Cricetulus griseus: one gene and its partners. The protein of the gene in region 1 purifies or fractionates together with the protein of each later gene. This does not show direct contact. Links are inferred from orthologs where the notes say so. Each region holds a gene or a part of one and is shown in the gene's direction. Other genes may lie near its edges.

Region 1 (4,118 bases):
ACACACGGGCGCACTATCCACCGCCCTGTCATTATTGGTGGAGGCCTGGGAATTCAAGGCGGACCTCCCAGTATTTGCTGCTGCTTGAGGCCAAAATGTCTCTAAAAGGGTTTTCTTTGAGGAATCTCAGAAATTGTTTAAGCGCTTAAAAAAAAATTACATATCCCCCGTGTCTATCGCGAGGCAAATGCTCCTGTATGTGTGAACGTGTGCGTGTGTGTTTGCGCGCGCGCTCGCAAAAGACGTCTCACAAAAAGAAGACACTGTTGAAAAGAAAAGAAATAAGAAAGAAAGGAGGGGAGCATTCCTTAATGGAAGTATTGCATGAGAGAAGGTTGGCGCAGAGCGAGTCCGTCCTCCCCCCCCCCCAAGCCGGGGATGCACACACGGGGGTTGCCTACCTGGGTGGTCTCTCTACTTTGGTGAGCTGTTGCTAAGCAGCTAATAATAGTCATGTTTGCTGAGTAATTTCTGCCCTCCGCGAGCCAATCGCGTCGCAGAAACCCAAGCCATCTGACAGCCCCGGGGGCGGGAGTTCCAGCCTTTTTCTCTTTCGCTCGCTCTCTCCCCCTCCACCCCCTCCCCTCCTCCTCCTCTTTCTCCAAATGGAGAGAGTTCTTTTTTTTCTTCTTCCATCTCATCTATTGAGTCAAGGAGCTGCTGCGGCCGCTGCCCGCTGCACACACACAGAGCGGAGTCCCCAGGTCCCGGGAGCGAGAGAGGCGCGCAGCGCGGGGGCAGAATGGTCCAGCGGGTCGGTGAGGAGAACAAGAAAGCAGAGTCCGGGACCGAGCAGCCACCGCGAACCCAGCAGTCCGAGAACGAGCAGCCGCTTCAGAAGCCGCCACCGCCAACCTCAGCCGCAGCAGCAGCAGCGGGGGCAGCGGCTGCCCCGGCCCGGCATCGCTGAGATCCGCCGGACACCGTCGCGTCGCCGGCAGCGGGCGCCTAGGGACCCAGAGCGAGTGGCGGGGGTCTGCGCGCGCCTTCTGCCGTGAAGGGGTCGCGGCGCGGGGCGGGGACGTCTGGGGGGACTTGGGGACCGCGAGGCGCGCCCTGGAAGCGCCGGCTCTCGCCTTCCCGCGAGCTGGATGTGGGCAGCAGCGGCCGCAGAGACCTCGGGACTCACGCGCAATGTGGCAATGGAAGGCGCAGGGTCTGAGTCCCCGGCATCGGCCACGGCCGCAGCACCCGCAGCGCCCGCCGTGTGAGCGGCAGCAGCGGGTCTGTCACCCGGAGCCGGAGTCCCCGGCGGCCAGCAGCGTCCTCGCGAGCCGAGCGCCCAGGCGCGCCCGGAGCCCGCGGCGGCGGCGGCAACATGGCCTCGGCTGGTAACGCCGCCGGGGCCCTGGGCAGGCAGGCCGGCGGCGGGAGGCGCAGACGGACCGGGGGACCGCATCGCGCCGCGCCGGACCGGGACTATCTGCACCGGCCCAGCTACTGCGACGCCGCCTTCGCTCTGGAGCAGATTTCCAAGGTGCATGTCTGTTCCCTCCTCCTCCTCCACTCTTCCCTCTTCTTCCTCTTTGGGATCCCTGCCACACACGCACACAGACACCCTCCTGAGAAAGCAGAAGACAAGTGAAGGTTGAAAATTTCAAACCCTCCCTCCGGACTTCGGAGGAAAGGGCTGTCTGAGGTCCGCAGGGGGTGGAGGGGTGCGTGCGTGCGTGTGTGTGTGCGTGTGTGGTGTGTGCGCGCGCACACGCCCTCCCTGGTGTGCCTTTTCCGGAGCTTTGGAAACCGTCCTGAGTGGACCACCTCCAGGGCGGCCGCAGTGCAGCACTGCCCCCGGCCTCAGCGCCCTTCACCCGCGCCCCTGCCTCCGTTGCAGCGTAAACCTCCGCGTTGCCACATTTCTTAACCTCTTCGTGGTGGAGGCGGAGTGGAGAGAGGCGGAGAGAGGCAGAGGGGAGGGAGCCAAAGTAAAGGTGGTTTCCTTTTTTGGCAGCCGGTTCTGCTTTCCTTGAGCTTGAAATCTCTGCTCCCTTAAAAATTATTCTCGGGAGAGGACGTCCCCTCTCTTCCAGGTTTTGGGCCGCCTCTTCTCCCAGCCTGCCGGGGAGAAGGGCAGTTGTAAACAAGTTGCCACCTTAAATCTTCGGTGCTGGTGTGAGGAACGGCCGGGTTCATTGTGTTTACGAGGCTGGCTGAAATGTGTGGAATCCAGGGAAGGCGAGCACCTAGCCTGGGGCCCGCTGGGGCCCTGGCCAGCACCAGGGCTCCGCCATCCCGACAGCAGCCTGCGCCTAGTCAGGACCCCCGCCGGCGCCAGCCTGGGCCTCTTCCCCGTATACTCGGCTGTTTTTTTTTTAAAAGATTTCACCAGGAGGGAGTGGGAGAGGAGGGAAAGATCCTTATGGCCGCCCTCTTCAGAGCACAAATAGTGTAAGTTGCAGATGGCTGCTGCACTTCCTAACTGAGCTCCCGCGGAGTCTCCCAAGGCCGTGGAAAAGTGTGTGGAGTGAACCCGGCTGCCGGGCTCACCACGTGGACCCCCGCGTGCAACCACCCGCCAGGCCGGGGGCCAGGTGGGCCACGGTAGCTTTATATTGTCCCTAAGTGTGCTTGCGCTCTTCACCCGCCCTCCGGGGTACCCAAGGAGGCCAAAGGCTGGAGCCGGATTTAGGGCAAGGGGGCAGTCGTGGCCTGGTGGTTTAGTGTTGGGCTTCTCAGCTAGGATCACTCAGGCCCTCTCTCTCCAGGTCCTCGATACTAGTGCCTGCCTGTCTTTGGCGGTTCCTCTGCTAGCCTCTCTCCCCAGCACCCCAAGTCTCATTCAGGAAAGTGCTCAGGCCATGCGTGGGGATACCCCGTGGTACCTAGAGTGCAGTTCTCACGCTGCAGCCTCGCTCTAATTTACAACCTAGTCCCCCACGCCTCCAGGGCTCCCTCTGACTAGTCCTGGTTCCAGCCCCGAGGGCAAGTCCCTGCGCCACGGCCGCCCACGCCCCCCACTGTTGGGGGGGGGATCCCCAGGCGGGTGTGCGCCGCCGTTAGCGACTCCCGGGCGTTCACTCCTCCCTTCTGCTTCGTCCCCAGGGGAAGGCTACCGGCCGGAAAGCACCGCTGTGGCTGAGAGCGAAGTTTCAGAGACTCTTATTTAAACTGGGTTGTTACATTCAAAAAAACTGCGGCAAGTTTTTGGTTGTGGGTCTCCTCATATTTGGGGCCTTCGCTGTGGGATTAAAGGCAGCTAATCTCGAGACCAACGTGGAGGAGCTGTGGGTGGAAGGTAAGAGACCCCGGCGCCGCTGGCGCGTCCTCTGTCTTCCTTCCCTTCCCAGTGTTTGATAAAGATATTTGCCAGCCTGCACCTAGAGCCTCGCCGTGGCCAGCGAAGCCCCTGCCCGCACCAGGGGCGACTGTTTATTGTTTGCATGCCTGGCCTGCAGCCAGGCCCGCCCGACAAAGGCCTCGCTGTAATCTACTCGGGGCGCTGCGCCTTGCTAGGTGTGGTGGGAGAGAGTGGCGGGGGCGCGAGGCCCCTGCGCGGGACGGACCACTCGGCAGGGCCGAAGGGGGGTGGTCCCTGAGGTCCGCCAGCTCCGCCCGCCTGGCTCTGGCCAGGGTGCCAGCGGCCGGAGGAAGGCCTCTTGGATCTGGGATGCTGGGATAGGCTTCCTTCCCTCCCCCCACCCACCCACCGCGTCTGCGGAGAAAGGAGAGGGGGTGGAGGGCAAGGCCACCCCTCTAGCTGCAGGGAGTGTGCGCGCCCCCGGGGCGCGCGGGGGGCGGGCGCCGCGCAGGCCTGCGGAGGCGGCCGCGTGTGTGGTCCTGTTTTTGGACAGCTTTCAACTCTGGGGGAAAAAAACATTTGTCTCAAGGTACAAAAAAAAAGGGGGCGGTGGGGGGATTGAAGAAAAAATAGTAAAGCACAAACTGGAAAGCGTGTTTGCAAAGTAGATTAATGTTTCCTCGCGGATGGGGACTTTTTAAATGGAATTATTCGGGGGGAGGCTGTGTTTGGCAGTCTTGCAAGAAAGAAATGTGTTTTTTTAAAGAATGCAGGTTTGATGGGAGGGGCGACGGGAGCTCCCCCTGGGGTGTGTGTGCCGGTCTTTTATCCACGTTCTTCGATTTGGGGGGTTGGGGACCTGCTTTAGAAAAGGACTTGT
Region 2 (4,246 bases), on another chromosome or scaffold:
CTGCTGTTACATAACTCCTTCCTATCTCCCAAATCTTGCTTTCTTTCTACTGTCTCTCCCACAATATTCCCTGAGCCCTGACAGCATTGATATAGATGTCCTGGTTAGGAGCAGGTGATTGTTTTGTTGAGACAAGGTCTCATTCCAAAGCCAGGCTGACCTGGAACTCACAGTATAGCTCAGATTGGCTTTGAACTCGTGGCAATCCTGCCTCAGCCTCGTAAGTGTTAGGATTACTGGTATGATTCACCACACACACCTCACTGTCGTGCTATGCCAATACTAGAGGAGGCTGGGCAGTAAAATGCTGGACTTCCGTGAAGTTCTGCTAAAAGCCTAAAACTACTCTTAAAAGTAAAGTCCTAGCCAGGTGTGATGGCACATTCCCTTAATCCCAGCATTCAGGAAGTTAAGGTAGGAAGACCACTATAAACTCCAAGGCCAGTCTAAGATAGTCTTCCAGGCCAGTGTGAGCTATGATAAGACTATGGTAAGATATAGTATTTGCTTACTAACTATAATAATTTGCATAGCAATGATTACTAGAGGGCTAGAGATACAGCTGCACTGGTAGTGTTTGCCCAGCATGCTTGAAGCCTGGGTTCAATCCCCAGTGTCATATAAACCCAGTGCTGTGGTGTACACCTAGTGTCCCACACTGAGGAGGTGGAGGGAGGAGAATAGGAGATTTAAGGTCATTCTCAGCTATATATGCAGTTCCAGCTCAAGCTGTGCTTAAGATCCTGGTCAAAAATAAATAAGATTTATTAGTGATAAATGTGGGAAAAATCACTAAAATTAATAAGCCTTAATAAAGAGTCTGAGGTAGAAGGATGGAGAACTGCAAGCCGAAGAGTTGTGAGACAGGGTTTATCTGTGTAGCTTTGGAGCCTGTCTTGGAACTCGCTCTGTAGGCCAGGGTGGCCTTGAACTCACAGAGATATGTCTGCCTCTGCCTCCGGAGCACTGGGATCAAAGGCGTGCGCCACCAACGCCCGACTGGAAAAAAAAAAAAATCACATTAAATAAAGGACCATCTCTGTCTCAAAACCTTTCAGGAATTCTAAGATAGCATCTGCACTTCTGTAGAAGAGGAGGATGAGGAACAGTGAGTAGAGGGGCAGCCAAACTGTTGTGCGTGCTCCTGAACCGTGACGGCTCCACAGTCTTTCCCTAAGGCCCAAAGCAATCTCCCAGGCTAACCAGGATGGCACACTAGTGGGCAGTGCATTCCATGCCTACCTAAAGCAGGTGGCTGCACAGCAGCGAGTGCGCAGGCGCGGAGCCCGAGCTCCCGATGGGCGGTGCTTCGGGGGCCGCAGCCTCGCTCTGGCCCCGCCCCCGCCGAACGTGGTCGCGGGATCGCCCAGGAAACGCATTCTGCGAGAACTCGCAGCGCCAATGGGAAGAGAGCGAGTGCCATGAACGGACCAATGAGGAGGGAGCGGCCCGGGGTTTAAACCCAGGCCCGGCAGACTCCTCCCGGCGTGCTGCGGAGGAACGGCTGTTGGTGTCTGGCCGTGGCCCGCTAGAGGCCAGGGATTTTGCTGCTGGTCGCCGAGCCTCTTCTTCAGGAGGAGCCATGGCGCTCAGAGTCACTAGGGTGAGCCGGACGGGAGCTGCTGTCGTCGCCGCGGGAGAAGACCGCTACGGCCATGCGGGGGTGGGGGTGGGGTCCCGGAGTGCCCCGGACGAGGTGGGGAAGCGGACGACCAACTGGGTCTATCCGGGCTGAAGGACTGGGAGGAGTGAAGGGTGTACTTGAGTGATGGAGCCCCCAGAGTGAGCCCCGCGCCTTCGCAGAGAGATGTCCACAACTCCGGCTTTCGTGGTTTCCTTTCCGATGTAAATTCGCGGTCTTTAGGATGGCTTAGGGCATAAGAGGAATTTGAATATAGATGAATGTGGAAAATCTGGGTGGAAACTCTGCGTGGCACGTCCCCAGGCTAGACCCTGAAACTCTGGCTTTACTTCAGGGAGCCTCAGTTGGGTCGCGCCTTAATTAACCCATGACTTCCTGGAGCCGCCATAGATCCTCTCTCAAGTGGTCTTAACTTTTTTTTCAGAACACGAAACTTAACACAGAAAATAAGGCCAAGGTCAGCATGACAGGCGCCAAGCGTGTGCCTGTGGCGATTGCTGCAGCCTCCAAGCCCGGGCTGAGACCGAGAACCGCTCTAGGGGATATTGGTAACAAAGTCAGCGAACAGGCACAGGCAAGAGTGCCTCTGAAAAAGGTAACTATCTTCTTGGCTCAGCTATCCTGAACCAGCCCGTCTTCCAGCTGTCACCCTTGGGAAAACATTCTATTTTCTTCATTCCCTCCACAGGAACTAAAAACCTCAGTTACTGGAAAAGTTTCAGCTAAAATCCCACCACCAAAACCTCAGGAGAAGGTTCCTGTGAGTGAGCCAGAGGTGGAACTTGCTGAGCCTGAACCTGAACCTGAACCTGTTATGGAGGAAAAGCTTTCTCCTGAACCTATCTTGGTAAACATAGCATATGAAAAAGTCTTCTTCTCTGACCTCTACACACTGGTAGCGTTTGAGTATTGAATGCTCAGCAAAGCTTTTTTATTTACACACTCTGGAGTAGGTATTAGCTGTAATTCAGATGGCAGAGGATAAATGTGGGATTTTGTTTTGTGTAGACTGACTGTACTCCTGGCTGGCCTGGAACTCAGAGGTTTGGTCTGGGACCAAAGGTGGACATCATCATTCATCATTTTTCTCTGTCACTGTAGCCCTGGTACCCTTGATTTGACATTCTTCTGCCCCCACCTCTCCAGTGCTGGGATGGTGCAACCAGGCCAGATCTTTTCATTGCTTTCTTATGTGTGTAGCATCCTGAACTAAAGGTTTTTGTTGTTCTGTAATTTCAACTCTGTCCGGAATTAATTGAATGAAACACAGATGTGTTTGTGAATCTTCTACTCCCTAATATGGCCACTAAATTAATAAACCTGTTACAAGAATAAAGTTTTTTCAGGCAGAAAATTAGATGAGTTAAATAGGGTGTGTTGTGGTGCCACCTCTAATCCCTGCAGTCTGGAGTAGAAGCAGGTGAGTCTCTGAGTTCAAGGCGAGCCTGGTCTACATAACAAGGGTCAGCCAGACCTATAGATAGTGAGACCCTGTTTCAAAAGGGGGGGGGTGGAGTTTTGGCTGGGATTGTAGCTCTCTGTCTGTTAGTGCATATTCAGTTCTTGAACACAGACACACACCCTCACCAAATTTTACTCGTAGGTGTGATGGTACAATTCTAGCACTTTTGCTAAAGCAGGAGGATTGAAAGTTCAAGGCCAGCCTGAGCTACATAGCACACAGCTCTTTGGTTTGATTTGGTTTTGGTTTTCTTGTTTTTTGAGACAGGGTTTGTCTGTAGCTTTGAAACCTATCCTGGCACTCTGTAGACCAGACTGGCCTTGAATTCACAGAGATCCACCTGCCTCTGCCTCCCGAATGCTGGCATTAAAGGTGTGCACCATCACTGCCCGGTATATGTAGCACACAGTTCTTATCAGTTTACTTTATGTCACTTTCTCTAACATCTTTGTAATTAAGGAAGAGCTTGTATTCACCTGAATAAAGCTTTATCGTGGTTTGAATTAATTCCACCTGGTGCTGATGAATAGCTTTATTACCTATCTGTTTTTCCTTTTGACTTTCTTTTACATGGGTGTGCTTTCGCACCCATCCACCCAAGGTGGGTGCTAGGATCTGAGTTCTGGTCTTACCTTGGAGTAGAAAGGGCTCCTTAAAAACCACATTGTATTTTGTATGTGAGTGCATACTTGTAGAGGTCAGAAGACAACCTTTTGAGTCAGTTTTTCCACCACATGGGTTGTGGGGCTTGGTACCTTTACCCTTCTTGTCCAGTTCTTCCTATTTTAAACTGGCTTAGTCTAAATTTGGATTTAACTTTTTATGAATCCAGATCTCACTATTCCTGCCTGGCTGGCTTTGCAGTTTGCTGTGGAGACCAGGCTGGCTTCAATTCACAGAGAAGTACTAGGATTAACTGCATGTATCATCATGCCTGGCTCTGAAATTTTCTTTTTCTTTTTTTTTTTAAATTAAAGATTTATTTTTCATATGTAGGGCAGGGGTTTGCACTTAAGTGCAATGCCCAAGGAGGGCAGAAGAGGGCATCATAACCTGGAGCAAGAATTTTGAGTTACCTGGTTCCTGCATAGAAATTAGACTCTAGCCCTTGGCAAAAACAAGTGTTTTTTACAGCTAAGCAA
Region 3 (4,112 bases), about 230 Mb from region 1:
GATAACCCCCCCCCATCTGATTTGTATTGATCCAAAGCAGTGAAGAAGAGCAAAGGAAGTAGGGGTACTTGTTTTGCTGGTCTGTGAACTGGAACAAGAATCAGTTTCTAAGTGTCCAGAGCTGGGTTTGAAGAGCCCAGGCACGTTTGGAAATCAGAAAGGTGCTCTTAAAGATTTTATTTATTTATTATATATACAACATTCTGCTTCCATGTATGTCTGCACACCAGAAGAGGGCACCAGATCTCATAACGGATGGTTGTAAGCCACCAGTGGTCGCTGGGAATTGAACTCAGGACCTCTGGAAGAGCAGTCGGTGCTCTTAACCTCTGAGCCATTTCTCCAGCCCCTAATTTTTTTTTTTTTCATTTGTTTGCTTGAGATATGGTCTCACTATTTAGCACTGCCTGGATTTGACCTTACAGAAAGACACCTGCCTCTGCTTCTCAAGTAATGGAAGGACAGAATAGGCAGTAGTTGGTTACGATAGAAGGAGGCACTTAGAAGGCCACCAGGCCTGAGGATCTGAGTTCCATCCCTAGGCACCCAAGTGGTTAAAAAAAAAGAGAGCACTGATTGTCAAATTGTCTGTCCTCAGACCTCCATATGTGCATAAGTAAGTAAATAAAAAATAATGGAATAAAAAAAAAGTTCAGCCCTCATCGGAGTGTGGTTTGGTAGCTCACACAATTTAATCCATCTCAGCACTTGGGAGGCAGAGGCAGGCAGAGCTCTGTGAGTTAGTGGCCAGCCCGGTCTACGTGGTGAGTTACAGGACACCAAGGACTACATGGCAATCAATACCCTGTCTAAAAATAAGGAAAACAACAGCAAAATGTTCATAGTATTGTCACCCGAGGTCTGGGGTCCGAGGTGTTTATGTTAGTGTGATCCTGAGAAAATGTTCTGAAATCTGAGTCTGGGATCTTGGTCGGTGTCAGGATTCTTATTATCGTCCACGGTCTGGGGTCCACGCCCTGCTGGGAGCATGGAGTCTAGCCTCCTGAGGAGATGCGATCCCAGTTTGTGGCCATCCCCTAGGGTCGTCCCGGAGTCCTGGGTGCAGGACTCAGGTAACAGCCCAGGACTGCGATCCGCGTCCCTGTCCCGGACCCGAGCAGCGCGGCCTCTAGGGGGCGCTGCCGCCCGCCTGCCCGCCGCCCGCCCGGCTCGGCCCCTCGGCGGCTCGCTGGCGCTGTGCGCGGCAGCGGGGCCGGAGGCGGCGGCGGCGGCGGCGGCAGCTCCGGGCGCGGGCGGGCGGAGGGAGGGCGGGTGGTGGTGGTGGTGGCGGCGGCGGCCCCCGACTGCAGTCCCGGCGGGAGCGGAGCGCGAGCCGGGCCGGGCCCGAGCCGGCGCCATGGGGCGGCGGCGCCTGTGAGCAGGCGACGAGCGGGGACCGGACGGGGCGGCGGCGGCGCCGAGGCCGACAAGCCGCGCGGGCCGAGCCGGGCCGAGCGAGCGGGAGCGGAGCGGAGCCTCGGGCGGCGGGAGGAACAGCGCCGCCGCCGCCAAGATGGCCGACCTGGAGGCGGTGCTGGCCGATGTGAGCTACCTGATGGCCATGGAGAAGAGCAAGGCCACGCCGGCCGCGCGCGCCAGCAAGAAGATCCTGCTTCCAGAGCCCAGGTGAGGAGCCCGCCTCTGCCGGGCCCCACGCGCCGACCCGGGTACCATGCCCCCGGGGACCCCTCTCTCCCCGCCGCCCCAGGCCCCGGGGACTCCCCCTGCTCCGGTGACCCTCTGCCCCAAAGACCCCACTATCCGGGCCGCCCCAGGACCCGGGGACCCCCATACTCCCGGATCTTCTGCTCCGGAGACCCCACTATCCGGGCCGCCCCAGGACCCGGGGACTTCCTCTCTCCCTGCCACCGCAAGGCCCGGTGCCTGCGAGCCCGGAGCGCCCCAACTCCAAGCTCCCATCGCGCTCTCCCGGCCGCGCTACCGCTTCCTGTATCTCACTGCTGGGCCTGGTCGCTGTCAGCCCCTAGCTCTGCTGCAGCTGTCTTCCCACCCTGGGTGCTGGACTCTGCCCTCCACCCTTTGTGTCCCCTTGGGGTTCCTTTCCCCAGGTCTGCCTCTGTTTACCCAGTCTGTTGCTCCTGCTCCCAGCACCCCCCTCTTTGGCGTTCCACTGTCCTATCCACTCCCCTCAGAGTGGGTAACACTCTTGTTCGGTTTGTGGAGTAGGGAGGACCAGTCTGGAGACTTTTTTTTTTTTTTTTTTTTTTTTTTGCCTTCTCATCTGGTAGTGTCACTGCCCCTGGCTTGGATTTGAGAGTACTTTGGGGGGACAGTGCTGTGTGATGTGTCTACCATCCCTCGGGGCTGTGCTCAGGTGAGGGTAGTCCCTTCTCCGTTTTCTCCCCATGTGGTGCCTTGTAGGTACTTTTGACGAGGGGACAGCCCATCCTACAGTAGCTGGACCGTGCTGCCACCTTTCTGCAAGACAACTGATGTCATTGCACCTGGTATCAAAGTTTAAACTGTTCAGGATGTGGGTGCAGAATCGGGCAGGATGTGAGAAGTGTAGCTGGGGTTTGTCCAGTATATTGTGGCAAATAGACTTACCTTCCCATTTGAACTCACAGGAGACCAGAGAGTGAGTGAGACAGGTGTAGTTTTGTGCCCATAGAACAAGGTTTGTGTGTGTGTGTGTGGCGGGGGTACAGCTCCCCCTTGAATGGCTTGTTCAGTGTCACCCAACCTCCACATCAGGGCTTCTAGTTGTATCTTTTGTTCACTGTCTTGACCTGAAGGATGGCCTGGATGTCCTGCGTCTGGAAAAGCAGATGTGTCTTCTACACATCAGGATGCCTTATGGTGGATGGGTGGTGAGGTCAGTCCCAGAAGTTTTTCATGACAGTCCCTTTAGCAGCCAAGAATTGTTCCTGACTTTACCACCATACTCTTATCACAAGACATGGGGCAAGTTCTTTTCCTTTTAGACCTTGATTTTTACCTCTGTGAAATGTGGGCAGTATGAAATAGGCCTCTGGTGGCCCCAGTTGTTGGAGCAGGGTTGGCAGCTTACAGGGATGCTGTTGTACACTTACCATGCCCCTCCTCCAGTGGCTGCTTACTGGGTTTCGGGTTGACTGAGAATCAGGCCCGTAGAGGAAAAATTGGTCTGCGTTTCGAAGAGGCCGTTGCCCCCCCCTTTTTTTCTAAGACATTTGCAATCAGATTTCTCAAAACAGGAACTAGACGAGTGTCAGCCAGGGCTGTCTAGGGGCAGCGGCAGTTAGGACGAAATGAGTTCAGAAATGACAAAACTTCAAGGGAAGAGAAGGGGGAGGCTTGCAGTTAGCATCTAGGGCACTGTCTATCTCTTCTGGGCAGCCACAGCCATGAGAGTCTTGTGCAGGTGTGAGGTCTGCAAAGTTTGAGGTGGTGCCTTTTTCTAGAACTCTCCATATTTGGATAATCTTTCCCCAGAATGCATTTCTCCTACTGGGCCCTGCCTTGAGTGTCTTCTGCAGGCATTAGAACCCTGATGAATGAGCTGTGCCTCTTCCCCTTTCCCCTTTCATTTGGTGGCAGTGGCGATGTGACAGCAATGAGAATGGAGTTTTTAATAATACATTATTTATTTTGACATCTGTCATCTTAGTTAATCCAAAAACCATCGTGTGAAGTTGGCAGGGCCATGCCTATGTGGACTAGTTGTAAACAGTACCAGGATGGGGTGATAGTCTGTGAGCAGAATGGAGGCAGGCTGTGAGTTTTAGGAAGCAACGACGGCACCATAGGCATTGGTACAAGGGCAGGGCACCATCAGCACTATGTTGTTGATCCAGTTGCTCAGTCTGGATGGTGAGGAACCTCTTAACTCTGAACACTGGTATGCTCAGGCCAGGAAAGGACCTGGAGTCACCCTGCAGTGGCCGTGGCCCTAGGCATGCAAGCCTCCCACGATGGAAAGCAGTCACCTTTGTGATGCATGTTGCACATTCTTGAGGCATATGTCTCTTGCCCTTGAAGGTAGTTATGGTTGGGTCTCACATTTGCCCAGTATGTCCCAATTTGTGAAGTGCCTTGTCTTCACAACTCTGGTATGCTGCTGACCCAGCAGGTGGTATTTTCCTCATTTACTGATGATCAAGGTCTTGAGG

What was found. The genes of interacting proteins can lie anywhere in the genome.
Region 2: the proteins of Ptch1 (region 1) and Ccnb1 purify together in Homo sapiens (affinity purification with western blotting; 3 studies listed by BioGRID and IntAct, with this or other methods). This does not show direct contact. The link is inferred for Cricetulus griseus from reciprocal best matches to the Homo sapiens genes PTCH1 and CCNB1.
Region 3: the proteins of Ptch1 (region 1) and Grk2 purify together in Homo sapiens (affinity purification with western blotting; 3 studies listed by BioGRID and IntAct, with this or other methods). This does not show direct contact. The link is inferred for Cricetulus griseus from reciprocal best matches to the Homo sapiens genes PTCH1 and GRK2.

Annotation. Positions count from the first base shown.
Region 1 is NC_048596.1:281,140,543-281,144,660, reverse strand, and holds the start of Ptch1 (protein patched homolog 1), read left to right. Parts: upstream 1-1,318; coding exon 1,319-1,477; intron 1,478-2,034; exon of another isoform or gene 2,035-2,388; intron 2,389-3,042; coding exon 3,043-3,235; intron 3,236-3,720; exon of another isoform or gene 3,721-3,827; intron 3,828-4,118.
Region 2 is NC_048595.1:319,292,145-319,296,390, reverse strand, and holds the start of Ccnb1 (G2/mitotic-specific cyclin-B1), read left to right. Parts: upstream 1-1,446; 5' UTR 1,447-1,582; coding exon 1,583-1,603; intron 1,604-2,066; coding exon 2,067-2,237; intron 2,238-2,330; coding exon 2,331-2,489; intron 2,490-4,246. UniProt on the Homo sapiens protein: Essential for the control of the cell cycle at the G2/M (mitosis) transition.
Region 3 is NC_048596.1:54,951,817-54,955,928, forward strand, and holds the start of Grk2 (beta-adrenergic receptor kinase 1), read left to right. Parts: upstream 1-1,312; 5' UTR 1,313-1,513; coding exon 1,514-1,626; intron 1,627-4,112. UniProt on the Homo sapiens protein: Specifically phosphorylates the agonist-occupied form of the beta-adrenergic and closely related receptors, probably inducing a desensitization of them. Key regulator of LPAR1 signaling.